2 linked regions of the Rattus norvegicus genome follow. The protein of the gene in region 1 purifies or fractionates together with the protein of each later gene. This does not show direct contact. Links are inferred from orthologs where the notes say so. Each region holds a gene or a part of one and is shown in the gene's direction. Other genes may lie near its edges.

Region 1 (6,662 bases):
TTGTCTCACCATTTCAGGCTTTTGTGACATTCCCATAGGCCGTCTTAGAACAAATTGCAAGTGCTTCAGGGAGAGGTGACCATTTCTCTCTCCAGGTGTCAAAGCAGACGACACGGCAGGATGTTCTGCCAATGGTGCCACCTCTCCAGGAGAACTTAGGTCCCAGACCTTCTTCCAGGCACCCCTGATACCTCCCTCCCCCAATCTCAGAGTCTTAGTACCTAAACACTCAAAGCTCACACATATGGTGTTGTGTTTCAACAGATTTAAAAATGTTATCTTCGAAATTGGTCCAACAGAAGAAGTTGGAGACTTTGAAGTGAAGGCCAAGTTCATGGGCGTTCAGATGGAGACTTTCATGCTGCATTATCAGGTGGGTGTGCACAGCCCTGGGCCTGAAGCTCTTGAGTGAGGTAGGAGAAAGAGATAAGAGAAGGCCCTTTGGGGAAATCTGTGTATTCAAAGAGCTCAGCTCCGAGTTGATGGGAGAAGCCAAGGGTTTGGGGAGTGGGTGTGGTCTAAAGTGCTTCAGAGTACACCCAAAGCTTCACTAGTGTGCCCTGGACTGAGCTGGTGCCCTGGCGTGAAGGAAGGGCCTGACTGTAAGTGTTAGCAGTGTGAGACTCCACGCTGTGCAGTCCTTGACCTCTGTTTTTCTTCTCATTTGTGTCTGATGTGGATACTTTGGTTAGGAATACTACTGAGAATCGCGTGAGTGCATTGCCTCTATCTGAGTCTGAGTCACATCTTAAATTCGAAATTAATTCTAACAATTTTATAACATAACAGTTTCTATTTCTAAGTGTCTTAACTTTTTTTCCTGGTGCTTAGGCCCAACCCTAAGGACTTGTGCTTGCTAGGGAAGCTGTTTCCCACTGAGCTCTATTTCCAACCCCAAATGTCTAATTTTGGGGAGTGGGAGGAAATCTTATACAGCCCAAGCTTTTCTCAAATCCACTATATATTTGAGGCTGGCCTTAAACTCTTGATTCTCCTGTTTCTCGCAAATGCTGGGATTATAGATATGTGCTACCATGCCTAACTGCCTAAACATCTAGTTTTGCACATTAAAAAATTGTACCAAGTAGGGATGGTGACACAAACCAGTAATCCAGCACTCTGGAAACAGAGGCAAGAAGATTCAGTGTGAGGCCAGCCTGGACTTCCAGGCCAGCCTGTATAGTGAAGATGATCTTCAAAATCCAAGACCAGAAACAAGCAGAAAATTGAGAGGATTCATAAGCAGTGCCCAGACCCAGCTATGTGTGCACCACATAGTAGGCCTCTTGTGGTTTCTATTGGTTGGTTTCTTTCTTTTTCTTAAGATTCATTTATTTTTATGTATGTGAGTACACTGTAGCTGTCTTCAGGCACACCAGAGGAAGGCACTGGATCCCATTCAGATGGTCGTGAGCCACCATGTGGTTGCTGGGAACTGAACTCAGGACCTCTGGAAGAGCAGCCGGTGCTCCTAACCACTGAGCCATCTCTCCAGCCTAGCTGGCTTATTTTTTGCAATGCTGAGAATCAAACTTAGGGTCTCACACATGCTCTGCTGCCCAGCTACTCTTCCAAGTCCCACCATGCCCTGCTTCCACTGCTGTGGTCTAGCAAAGCAGGCTAGTGCCTCTCTGCGAGTAAGCGTTCCAGCTCCTGCTCAGGATGCTCTGCCCTTGTGTAATTGGCCTCCCTCCCTCTCCTCCTCTCTGCCTTCTACCGCCATCAAACAGTGAGCACCGGCACTGTTGTTGCCTGCCTGCAGCCACAGCGGTGGCCCTTCCCTTTGACTCAGCAGCCCTGAGAGACATCCTCTGTTGACAGTGTGAGCTGACTCATTTCCCTGCCACCCCCAAAACTGGGAACTCCTAAAGCAGTATGTCTTAGTCATCTTTATCTCCTTGTTGGTAACCAGTAGTCTCTCAGTGCATATTAATTAGTAAACGGGAAAGGTTTTCTTCATCCATTGTAACTAAGCACTGCTACACACAGCCCCTTATCCCACTGGTCTCACTGTGCCTGCAGGCCAGCCAGTCTGCTAAGGCAACCAGAGTCAGCACATTGTCTGACTCGTCGGTGCATGGGCTTAGGGTTAGGCTAGGCAGAGAGGACACACCATGGTCCCCATCCTTGTGACACTGCAGTCCCTTCATACCCTCTCTCGTCATCACTCTCAAAAGTTTAGTGGTAGGAATGACAGTGCTGCCATATGCTGTCAGGACAGCAGAGAGTGTTAGAAAACAGCCTGTCAGACCCCATCACCCCAGAGCCAGCTCTTTCCTCCTGACGGCCGCGCCACCCAACACCCTGAGCCTCAGCAGCTCATCTTTATAAAGTTTAGATTGATCATGCTTCATATAGTTTTTGTAATGACCTGGCAATATAGAGGGGAAGGTGCCTGCACAATGCCACGCACAGGCTGGGCAACCATGACTGTGCTCCTCCTGTTTGCTTGCACCTTTCTCATGCAGAGTTGAAGCTGGAGTCTGGCAGGGCTATGGCTGTCTGTAGAGACTGTGTATTCCGTTCCCAAGAGACCCTGGGTTCAGTCTCCTCAAACAAAAGACCCCAGTAGATTGTAGAGCTGCAGATGTCGTTCTCTGTTGGTAAACACTTGTTCGGCATGCACAGAACCCTGGTTTTGATCCAGCACTGTAGAAACCGAGCATGGCAGCCATACCTGTCCACCCACCATGGAGACAGCAGTATTCGGCCAGCCTGTGCCAAAAGGGCCGAAAGGGGTTGGGGGTGGGCGGGGGTATCTAGTAGGTACGGAGACACTACAGACCTTTCTCATTTTCAGCCATTGGCATATTTCATGAATTGAAATGTCTTTAATACATGTGTATTAAAACCTCTAACCTACCTACAGCTGAAACAATGAGAAAATGCCATTGTAACTTTTGAACTAAGGCTTCAACGTATTTTAACTGAACATAACTCTTAATTTTCCTTCATATGTTTAGAATATTTTACTATAAACTAAATGATAGCCTAAGACCAAGTTAGCTTGAGGGTTCCCTCAGCCAGAACTCCCTGTTGCTTCAGCATCCAGGGTGGCTGTGCGGACCCAGGTGGCCATGTGGTATGAACCTCTGCACTGAGAACTTGTGTCTCACCTCCCCATTTTACATCTGGCACGTGAGGCCTGCCTCACCTCTCCTGGACCCTCCCCTCATGGAGACCTTTCCCTCCTTCCTTCTCTCGTTCCAGATTTGATGGTTAAATTGTTGTGTTTTGTCTTTAAACAGGACTTGCTGCAGCTACAGTATGAAGGGGTTGCGGTCATGAAGTTGTTTGATAGAGCTAAAGTGAATGTCAACCTCCTGATCTTCCTTCTCAACAAAAAGTTCTATGGGAAGTAACGGGTCACTTGCCACCCGAGGAATAAAAACAGGCAACACTCCACAGCTGTCTTTCTAGGAACCTCCATTACTCCTCGGAAGCAAAGACCTGGTCCAGCAGCCTCAGTTCACACTCCTGAAGCCCGTGTTTAAGTCCCCCCTCCCCCGACAGGCTCAGTGCCCTCTTCTATATGGTGAAGCCGGATGACTTCCCCTCAGCCCTGCTCCCCTCATTTTCTCTCATCATGTAGAAAAGAGTGGAACCCCACCCAACCCCTTTCTACGAAAGCCTCCTAAGTGGTAATTACTATTTTGTAAACATTGGTGTTTGTTTTACTTAGCAATAAGAATGGTGGAATCCAAATTCTTGTTTAGAGGTAAAAGCTGTCAGGTTGCTAGCAAGCATCCGATTCGGCATTAAGTACGGCCCGGCCCGTGAGCAGTCAGAGGATGAAGTCCGTGAAGTCTTCCATCTGCTGCCTTTGTAGGCGGAGCTGATCCAAGTTACTGCTCTCTGTTCAAATGAAGCAGCTTCAGGAGAAAAAGAGCAACTACTTTTGAATTCTCCACTCAATGTGGGCAGTACAGTTAGTGCAGAGCCCTTCCTGGTGAAGGTGAACCCCCACGGTCATGGAGACCTGAGAGACTGAGTGGGCAGGGCACTCACCATCCCTCCCACAAAGGGATGGCTTACCCTAGCTCAAAATGTAACTGTTTCTAAACTGTATTCCAGGAGTGCCTTACCAAAGTATAAATTTATTTCTTAAAATGTGAGTGATAGGAATTTTAAAGATTTATATAATGCTTTAGAATACTGAGAAAGGGTTGTTTTTTTCATTGGGTTCATCTGTATATCTGAATTCTTGAAGCTTTTCTGTAGCCTGTACTGAGGTCTATCTACCAAGCTGCTGAGCTAATCCTGCTTGATTTTAGCAACAAGAGACAACCCACATCATGCTTGAAGTTCAATCCATCTCTTCTCTGTTACCTACATCATGCTTTTATCCTGAGAAACCTGCACCCTTAAGCTCTGACTAACAAAGACAGCTCCAGACATTGAATTTGGAAACCTTTGTCCTTGGATTAAAAGTCATAAACTTTAAAAAAAATCTCTTTATTCCAAAAGATAGGTAAATCATGCTACTGAGCCTCTGATGGCTTTGATGTTTGGTTCGATATTCTTACATAAAACATAAAAATTAAACTAATTTTTATGCAGAGTTTCCATATGGATATCGAAGGCCAATAAGCAGTTTTAATTAGCGACAGTGTGTGGTCTGACCCTGTTATAAATGTAAGTCTTGGAGAAGTGTCCTTTACGAGACCCACAAGTGCAGGCCGGGCTGGAGGCCTCCGTGAGCAGATCTAGGTAGAGGCGGGGCCAAGAAAGGATCTGACCCCACAGTGACATTGTGTTTGGAACAGAGTTTTCTGAGAAAACATTTTCTCCAGGTTAAAAGAAAATGCTAAGGCTGGCGTAGTAGAAGACACTTATAATCTAAGCACTCAGAGGCTGAGGAAGGAGGATCAAAAGATCACTAAGTCAAGGCTAGCCTGGGTTACACAGCCCCGCTCAATCTCCAAAAGACAGAGAAAGAAAGAAAGGAAAAAAGGAAAAAGATCCTGTTAAAACCTCAAAATCAAGGTTAGGGGATGCGGCAAGTGTGCCTTTTTTCTTTTTCTTTTTTTTTAAGACAGAGGAGATGGGGGGCTCTGTTGTCTTGGCTGTCCTAGAACTCTGTAGATCACGCTGGTCTAGAACTCACAGAGATCTACCTGCCTCTGTCTCCCGAGTGCTGGGATTAAAGGTGTGAGCCACTATACCTGGCTTTCAAGTATGTTTTCTTTAAGAGGATGCCATTCCAAATGTCCCAGGGGCCAGCTGCAAGACAGTAATGAGCCCAGGTTACAGCGCCTTCAGATGTCTCAGTTACCTGAGAGGATGTTCCTTCCCTGAATACCCAGTAGAACTGTGCCACATGCCCTTTGAGAATCCCCATGGCTGCTGTGGGTCCTGCTTAAGCAGAAGCAGAGGTCACCCAGCTAGCGAGCCTCAGGTTGGCACCCTGAGGTCGGGCTGCGCCTACGTTATTTATTAGCTGTAGCCATCTCTGTCTTGGCTCTCGCCTCCTCTGACCTTCTCTCTGACCAGCCGTCATGACATTTACTATGAATTTACTTCCTCCCAAGAATTTGGACTGGCTGTCAGACTGTTGCTACACACAATTGCCTTTGTATCATCGTATGAAATAAAAGGTCATTTGTTCCTGTTTGTGTTTATTTTTCTTGGTTTCATTGTTAGCAGTTCCTGTTAGACGGTGTTAACTAGAGTAAGATTAAGTCACCCCCCCCTCCTTTGTAGTCTTTTGAAAAGAAGAGCAAACCAAGCCTGCCTTTGGGTCACAGAATATCTCTTGTAATTTTATTTACTGCATGGGTATGGAGCTCAGAGGACAACTTGGGAGTCAGTTCTCTGCTCCCACCATGTAGGTCCCAGGGATGAAACTCACTGATTATGCACTTTGTTAAAAAAAGGGGTGTGTGTGTGTGTGTGTGTGTGTGTGTGTGTGTGTGTGTGTGTGTGTGTGACACACACAGTCATGCGCCTGCATATCAGAAGAGGGCATCAGATCCCATTACAGATGGTTGTGAGCCACCATGTGGTTGCTGGGAATTGAGCTCAGGACCTCTAGAAGAGCAGTCAGTGCTTTTAACCACTGAGCCGTCTCTCCAGCCCCCAATTATGTACTAGTTCTAACATGCTGTTTAGCCTTTTAAAGTGTATTACGCTTAATGTACCCTCTACATAAGAAATATAGGAGGAGCCAGACATGATGGCCCAGGCCTTTAATCCCAGCACTTAGGAGGCAGAGGCAGGCAGGTGGTCTGCACAGTGAGTTCCAGGACAGCAGGGCCACACAAACCCTATCTCAAAAAAACAAAAAAAGAAAGACAATGCAGTGAGGGACAGAGTGTTGCCGTATAACTGGCTAAAGAAAGACAATGCAGTGAGGGACAGAGTTGCCGTATAACTGTAACTGACTAAAGCATGAAGTTTAAATTTTCTGTTTATATTACTTAACGAAAAAACACCGGATGTTAGGCATTCATGAAGAGTTTTTCTCGGGGGTTTCCGTCGCATGTAAGTCACCAGAAGTGACTAGGCTAAGTTGGATATGGAGAAAGTCAGCAATTGTAAAAAAAACAAAACAGGAGCTGGGACTGATGCTGGGGAAATGGCTCAGTACGTAAGAAGCACTGTGGCACAAGCGTGAGTTCAAATCCCAGAATTTACATAGTAGCACAGTAGCACGTGTCTTA
Region 2 (7,296 bases), on another chromosome or scaffold:
AAGCCTTTATCCCCTACAGGGAGGCAGAGGCAGGTGGATCTGAGTTCCAGGACAGTCAGCGCTATGTAGACAGGCCCTGTCTCAATGAAAAAAAAATGTTAACATGTCTAATCATGAGAGTTATTTTACATGGGGGCCAAATGACAGTACAGGCTCCGCGGGGCCTGAAGTCTTGATCAGCACCACAGAGTACCTCGAGAGAGGTCACTCCCTTTATTAGTGTGCAGTCTGCGGAGCAGTCACCTGGAATATTGTTTCCTGTATCAGGTTATTCCTTTTCTTTCCGCTCTGAGACTGGATCTCACTTAGCCCAGGCTGGCCTGAACTCCCTACGTGCCCACTGACCTGTCTGCACCTCCTGAGTGCTGGGACCCAGAGCTCTATACATGGGGAGCAAGCACTTTACCAACTGCGCTACATCCCTTGCACCCGTACAGACCTTTTTACTCTTCGGAGTTTTCTCTAGCTTCTGGCTACAAAATTGGTTTATATCTCATTCTTCCTACGGTGCCGCTGGGAGTCTTCTACCCTGAGCTATTTCTGGTCCACTTTCTTGCACAAGCTCTAGGATGAGGCGCGCTGCCAGAGTTATTTATTTATGTGGTTCGGGACGGTGGGTCGGTTCCCTCTCTGCACCCAAACCTTCGGTAAACGCTAGGGAGAAAGCAAACACTCAGGCTGGGCAATGGTGTCGGAAAAGGAAGGAAAGGCTGCAGAGCCCAGCGCTGCATTTGTTGGGGATCTCCCGGGGACGAACGCGCTGCATAGGCGGCGTCAGCCGACGCCTGCACACGGAGGAAAGTCTGGAGCAGATGACCAGGCTAAACTGTAAATCTTAACATCTACCTCAGTCGCCAGCCTCTAGGCTTTTCGGCTAAGATCAAATGTGTAAAAAAATAAAATAAAAATGCGAAACTCTTCAAGTTACGTGACGCCGCAGCTAACGGCCTGAGGAAGCGAAAGCAGCCCCAGCCTCCGCCTGCCTACCGCCCGGCCCCGCCCCTGGCCTTGCGGGCGTCCCTGAGTCTGCATCCCTAGGGTCAAGGGTGGGGACGTCTCAAGCCCTTTCAATTCCGGAACTGGCGCACGCCTCAGTGTCTGAGTCAACAATTGCCACCACGGGCCGGAAGTGACCGCCAACTCTCACCACCGGGGGAAGGTTTCCTGCGAGCACGTGGGCGTGCGTGGACTACGACTCCCAGCATGCTCTGCGCCCGCCGCTGTTAACCCTTCAGGGACCGGAGCTGCCCTGAGTCCCGCCCCCCCACCTGCCCCTTCCTTGGAACCGGCAAGGTGAGTTTTGAGGGGCTGGGAGGGCCTTTTTCCTCTCTAAGGCTTAGGAGTGAGTGTAAGTGAGGGAAACTGGTGTGTTGTTTGCGGAAGGATTCCTTATTTTCCAAAAATGGGACAATTTGCAGTAAAAAGATTCTGACGCCTTTACAAATGGAAGACACACTGCCACTCTGTGAACTCCAGGGCCTAAGTGGAATGACCAGTCTCTCAGAATGCTACCTAAATCTTCTTTATCCAAGAAGAGAGTAGCCAGAACTCCCTTCCAGCTCCCAAACATCATCTCTTCCCTTTGCCAGCGCTTCCAGCAAGGTTTGTGACTCAAAGCTGAGCCAAGGTTTTTGTTGTGATCCTGACTGGTTGGGTGCCAGTGTGGATACCTACCAACTTCTTAGGAGATTCTGTAACCTTTTTGGGGTATTAGAGGGCTCATTGTCTCCCAGGGTCCTCTCCCTCTGTGTGAGTGTGAGTGTGTGTGTGTGTGTGTGTGTGTGTGCGCACACGAGCGCCTGCCTGCCTGCCTGCCTGTCTGTCTGTCTGTGTCTCCTCATCCTAGCCTCTTGTCTGATTTGAATAACATTGTCTTGTTGGAAAATGTTCCTTCTTTGGAATTATATGTGACAGATGCTAAACCTTGCCTACACTGGAACCCCTAAATCAGCATTAGGTGTAGGATTCAGTGGGTAATGCCATGCTATGGTTACAGTGCGGGGGTGGGGGTAGGTGGGGGCCCAGGGACTTCGAGTTCTAAAGATACAGGAATGAGCAGAAAGGAGTGAAAAGACCCCCTTCTCTCACCTTTAATGTTTCCAGAACATATTTTAAAACTTCCCACTTGACACTAGGTTGTTACTCTGTCCCGCCCCCATACCCCCATACCCTTCACACCCCCATACCCCCATGCCACCCCTAAGTCCTTGCTCTGCTTGGGCTTTTCCACAGTCTAAAAGTAATGAAAGCTTTTGTTTGCTTTTTAGTTTAGTTTTTTCTCTCTTCCCTTAGCTCCTATCTCAGAATCACTGGCAAACGTCCTATCGTCACCCTGGAGGTTACCAGTCCCTGTTCTGAGAAGTCCCTTGTTTCTTCCCTGTACCCTTAAAGAAAACATTCTGTTCAGCCTTAGGGGAGTGGTGTCAGGAGGAAGAATACTTTGGGGGCAAGAGCTCTTTACCACAGGCGGCCAGGGGAGTGAGGGCAGACAGGCAGAAGTTTCTTCTCCCTCACCCTTGCCAACTGGCTCCCTGTCCCCGCCGCTGCCCCCGCCCCTTGACACCCCAGACTCCCTGCCTATTTAAACAGAGATGGTGCCCCTGTCGGCACACTGCTCTTCTGCCACCTGACATCATGCCTCCCAAGAAGGATGCTCCTGTGAAGAAGCCAGCAGGACCCTCCATCTCTAAGCCTGCTGCCAAGTCTACAGCAGGGACCCCTCTAGCCAAGACCAAGGCCGAGCCAGCTGCCCCCCAGACCCCTGTGAAAACCCAAGAGCCCCCTGTTGATCTCTCCAAAGTGGTGGTGAGTCCTGGGAAGTGTGTGAATCTGGAAGGGGTAGTTCAAAGGTGCAGTGCAGCCTTGGGGATTGGGGACCGGGAAGATGTGGGAAGGGTAGGGAATGAATGAACCGCTAGAATGAGGTTGGGGCTCCCAGGCCAGGCCAGTTTCCAGGGGAGAGAGGTGCTGTCTGCTCCTGGCTCAGCTGTTGAACCCCAGGAGGGGAGACTGAAGAGGACAGACTTGTTAGACAATCACAGCTGGGGGCAGGGGTAAATTTAGCCTTTGTTCAGCCCCCAGTTATGTGAGGGATGCAGGACTGGGGTAGCGGGAGGGAAGGGAACAGGTGGTATGGGATTAACCCTGCTCCCAAGAAACCCTCCCCCTATAATTCCTCTTGGGGTGCTCCCAAAGCCCAGGGCTGGGAATGGGACTAAAGTGGCCGGGCTCCCAGCCTCATCCCTTTGGGCCCCTCCCCAGAAGTGGCTGCCAGTTGGTTGTGCTAGAGAGGGACTGAATAAGCCCTGTCATCTCCTCACCTGCCCTTTTTGTCCCCTACAGATCGAGTTTAACAAGGACCAGCTGGAGGGTGAGGAGAAGCCTGTTTCCTAAGCCCCATTGTCCAACACCAAACTCCTGGTCCGATTCTCTGTTCCCTAACGACAGTCCTGACCTTGAAACCTCCCACACTTGTCCTGTTCTCCTCCCTCCTGTGCCCAGCTCGAGCACATAATTTCTAAAGCAAACCTCCCTTCCGGCTGGAGGTGATGGGAATCCCTGGTCACATTGCCTTCTCCCTACATCTCAGAGTTCAGAGAGGCCTTTGAGCTGTTTGACCGAGTGGGTGATGGCAAGATCCTGTACAGCCAGTGTGGGGACCTGATGCGGGCCCTGGGCCAGAACCCTACCAACGCCGAGGTGCTCAAGGTCCTGGGGAACCCCAAGAGTGATGGTGAGAGGAACCTTGAGATTTGTGGGGTTTCCATCTTCTTGGTGTTGGAGGTTGAACACAGCGTTCTGCCCGTGCCACGGAGTGCCATTTCTAGCCAGCAACTTTCTCTTCATCCTGTTTTTTGAGACAGAATTTCGGTATCGCAGCCAAGAATGCCCTTGAACTCTGATCCTCCTACCTGTACCTCCTGTCTACCGCCCACTGGAGTTCGATTGCTCCAGTTTATGTGGTGCTGCTGGGTTGACTCCAGGGCCTCAGGCAAGACAGGCAAGCCCTTTATTATGGAAGTCCTTTTTTCTTTTTCCTTTTACTCAGGTTGGCCTGGAACTTACAGCAGCCCTAGTTGCCAGTTTTCTTTCTCTCTTTACACTTTTAATTAATATTCTTTAGATAGGGTTATTGGTATTATTATTATTATTATTATTATTATTATTATTATTATTATTATATAGGGTCGTCTCTACATAGCCCTGCTTAGCCTGGAACTCACTAGATAGACCAGATTGGCCTCAAACTCAGCCTGTCAGTGCTCAGACTGAAGGTGTGTGCCACCACACATGGACTAGTGTAGTGGTTCTCTCTTTGTGCTTTGCGTGTGTCCTGCCACTTCGATACATCCCTGCCCCCCCCCCCCCCCCCCCCCCGTTGAGATAGTCTTAAGTTGTTTTGGCTGGCTTTGAACTTGCCTGGTAGCTGTGGTTACAAGACTGCACTGCCGTGCCTGGTAACAGTATCAATTTTCAACAGACTTGGTAAGGTGACAGAGGACCGGGGTGGATCTCAGGACTCAAAAACTGTCAAACACAGGGAAGGAAAACATCCTCAGTGCTGAAAGGGATGAAAGTCACTATGTATAGTAAGGTTGGATCCCACACCTCAGTGATATCTCTCTCTCTCTCTCTCTCTCTCTCTCTCTCTCTCTCTCTCTCTCGCCCTCTCTTTCCCTCTCTCATCTCTGTCTAATTGCCAGAGCTGAAGTCCCGGCGTGTAGACTTTGAGACGTTCCTGCCTATGCTGCAGGCAGTGGCCAAGCACCGGGACCAAGGCACATATGAGGACTACCTAGAGGGGCTGCGTGTGTTTGACAAAGAGGGCAACGGCAAAGTCATGGGAGCGGAGCTCAGACACGTTCTTACCACTCTCGGTGAGGCAGGGCCCAGAACTGTGGGATGGAGAAGCAGGTGGACCTGGAGGAGCTGGTAGAGCCTAGATGTCTAGCAATGAGCCGAGGGCAGGGAACGTGGTGGGAGCCTCATGCCCTCTTTGCAAGCCACACTTGGGTGGATTTCATGCAAGTCTCAACCCCTGCAGCTCGTTTCTTTGTCTATCAAAGCTTTTAGCAGCTCCAAGGAACTGTTGATAAGTGCCATACAGAAAGACGACAGGGAGGGTGGGAGGACGAACCACCCTGAGAGTGGCTTGGACTAGTGAGTACGGGAAGGCAGAGGCTCTAACTGTGTTTGGGTTCAGGAGAGAAGATGACTGAGGAAGAGGTAGAGACTGTTTTGGCAGGCCACGAGGACAGCAACGGCTGCATCAACTATGAGGGTGAGGGGGCAGGATGACCAGGGGGGTGAGGAGTCTTGAGGGGGTTGGGAGTGTACCCTCGTTTACTCAAAGGTCAGTTTCTGAAGTCCTCTCCTCTCCTCTCGTGTGTGCAGCCTTCCTGAAGCACATCCTAAGCCTCTGAGCTCCGCAGCCCCTAGTGCCCTCTAGAGAGGCAACGATCCCGGTCAACCAGACAAGCGCAGGCAGTGCGTTTCCCCATCCGACTGTAGCGCAGCCGCCAGCGCTGGACAACTTTCTTTCTACCCCACCCAACTCCACCCCACCCCACGTAGAACCTGCGGGATCGGAAACTTGCCCCACCTCCTGTGCGGCCAGTAGTGCGTTCCTGCCACTAGGGGGCACTTACGGTTTTGAAATAAAAACATGGTTCCTGCTTTGGTTTCCGACTGGTTTCTTTTGAGGAAGGGGAAGGACGGGAGCGGTAGTCCTTTCTTCTGCAAAAGTCCAAATCCCCTGCTCTTAGTGCAGTTCGGAAGAAAGGCTTCCAAGAGTCACACCCTAGGCCTCCGCCGTGCTCCTGAGCAGAGTTGGAGCGCCCCCCTCACCTCATTATTAATATAGTGATGTCATCGGCATGAGCCCAAACTAGTATGCCTATTGGATGAAACTGCGGAGGGTGACGTCAAGCGCCGTGGGACGTACTAAGGTTGGGGTTGGGTCCCGAGTCGGAGCCATTACAGCCGGCAAAGGTCCCGCATAGCTCAGCAGCCAAGATGGTGGGCCCTGGGAATCGGGAGATTAGGGGGATTTGGGGCAGGGAGAGGACCGCGGGTGGGGGTAGGAAAAGCGGTGGACGTGGGCACGCCCAGGTTTTGGGAGGTTGGATGTGGGGTTGGAAGGTCTAGGGCTCTCTCTGCCTTGGGAAGCAAGTCCTCGGCTTCAAACAGAAGTTTGTTAAGCCGGGAGAGAAGTTTGCGGGATTGGACCTCAGTACTGACCAATCCCTTCTTCTCCGAGCAGTGTGACTTCACCGAGGACCAGACCGCAGGTAGGCAGTCTCTGACCCACAACTGAGGTCACCCTTACCGAGAGGGACCCCTTCCTCTAGATCCCAACCTGTCATCTCCAGCACTCCCAGGAGGGTGCCCCGTGGATTTCCTTCTCCTCGGCTCTAGATCCTCCATTTTCTTTCTCATTCTTTCTTCCTTCCCCTTCCACTCTAGATCTGAGCCCCAACCACTGGGTGAGTTTTGGGTGGTGTGGGTATGTGAAACAATGATTACTGCCTGTTGTGTGTTGGGTCTCTTATGCTTGTGTTCCGCTGCTTTTGCCTCTCCTGTGATAACTGCCCCCTCCTTAAGCTTGGATTGCCAATACGGTAAAGAGCAGTGCCTTGATATTCTGTTGAGATGGGGACTGGAGAGTTTGCTAAGCCCGTGGCTTAGCTTCACCCCCTGGAAGGTCTCTGGAAGGGAAGGGTGGGAATGGGAAGCTAGAGTCCAGACCACTGCTCTACTTCCTTATATGGGCAGGACCTAGCCTGGGCGGTGGCAAATTCCTGCCGAGCAGTGTAGTGGTGGTGGAGGGCCTAGCCTGCTGTAGCTCAGGGGGTGTGTAAGCGATGGCTACCACCTTGAGGTAAGGAAGAAGGCTGCGTGTCTTTATGCGGGGCATTTGAGTTGATAGAAATTAGATCCTTAGGCGCAGTCTTCGGTGTACAGGAGGACAAGATATCTGGTCTCTGCAGCATGCTAGAGTTGAGTTGGCAGCAGCACTGGGTTAATCCCTGGTGCTGCTGTTCATCTGAATCCTCAGAATTCAAGGAGGCTTTCCAGCTGTTTGACCGAACAGGCGATGGCAAGATCCTGTACAGCCAGTGTGGGGATGTGATGCGGGCCCTGGGCCAGAACCCTACCAACGCCGAGGTGCTCAAGGTCCTGGGGAACCCCAAGAGCGATGGTGAGCATTTCAAGACCTTAGTGGGTTCATGGTTGTTCAGGTAAAATCATCATATATGTATATGTACACACACACACGTATGTGTGTGTGTGTGT

Evidence for each region.
Region 2: the proteins of Iqgap1 (region 1) and Myl6bl1 purify together in Homo sapiens (affinity purification with mass spectrometry; 3 studies listed by BioGRID and IntAct, with this or other methods). This does not show direct contact. The link is inferred for Rattus norvegicus from reciprocal best matches to the Homo sapiens genes IQGAP1 and MYL6B.

Annotation. Positions count from the first base shown.
Region 1 is NC_086019.1:144,086,573-144,093,234, reverse strand, and holds the end of Iqgap1 (ras GTPase-activating-like protein IQGAP1), read left to right. Parts: intron 1-264; coding exon 265-373; intron 374-3,248; coding exon 3,249-3,362; 3' UTR 3,363-4,447; downstream 4,448-6,662. UniProt on the Homo sapiens protein: Plays a crucial role in regulating the dynamics and assembly of the actin cytoskeleton.
Region 2 is NC_086025.1:1,496,995-1,504,290, reverse strand, and holds Myl6bl1 (myosin light chain 6B), read left to right. Parts: upstream 1-3,132; coding exon 3,133-3,370; exon of another isoform or gene 3,371-3,589; coding exon 3,590-3,733; exon of another isoform or gene 3,734-3,863; coding exon of another isoform or gene 3,864-3,895; exon of another isoform or gene 3,896-4,527; intron 4,528-4,703; coding exon 4,704-4,877; exon of another isoform or gene 4,878-5,203; coding exon 5,204-5,281; exon of another isoform or gene 5,282-5,331; intron 5,332-5,337; exon of another isoform or gene 5,338-5,394; coding exon 5,395-5,423; 3' UTR 5,424-5,676; downstream 5,677-7,296. Other genes in the region: Myl6 (myosin light polypeptide 6), read left to right, coding at 6,016-6,018, 6,263-6,290, 7,058-7,201. UniProt on the Homo sapiens protein: Regulatory light chain of myosin. Does not bind calcium.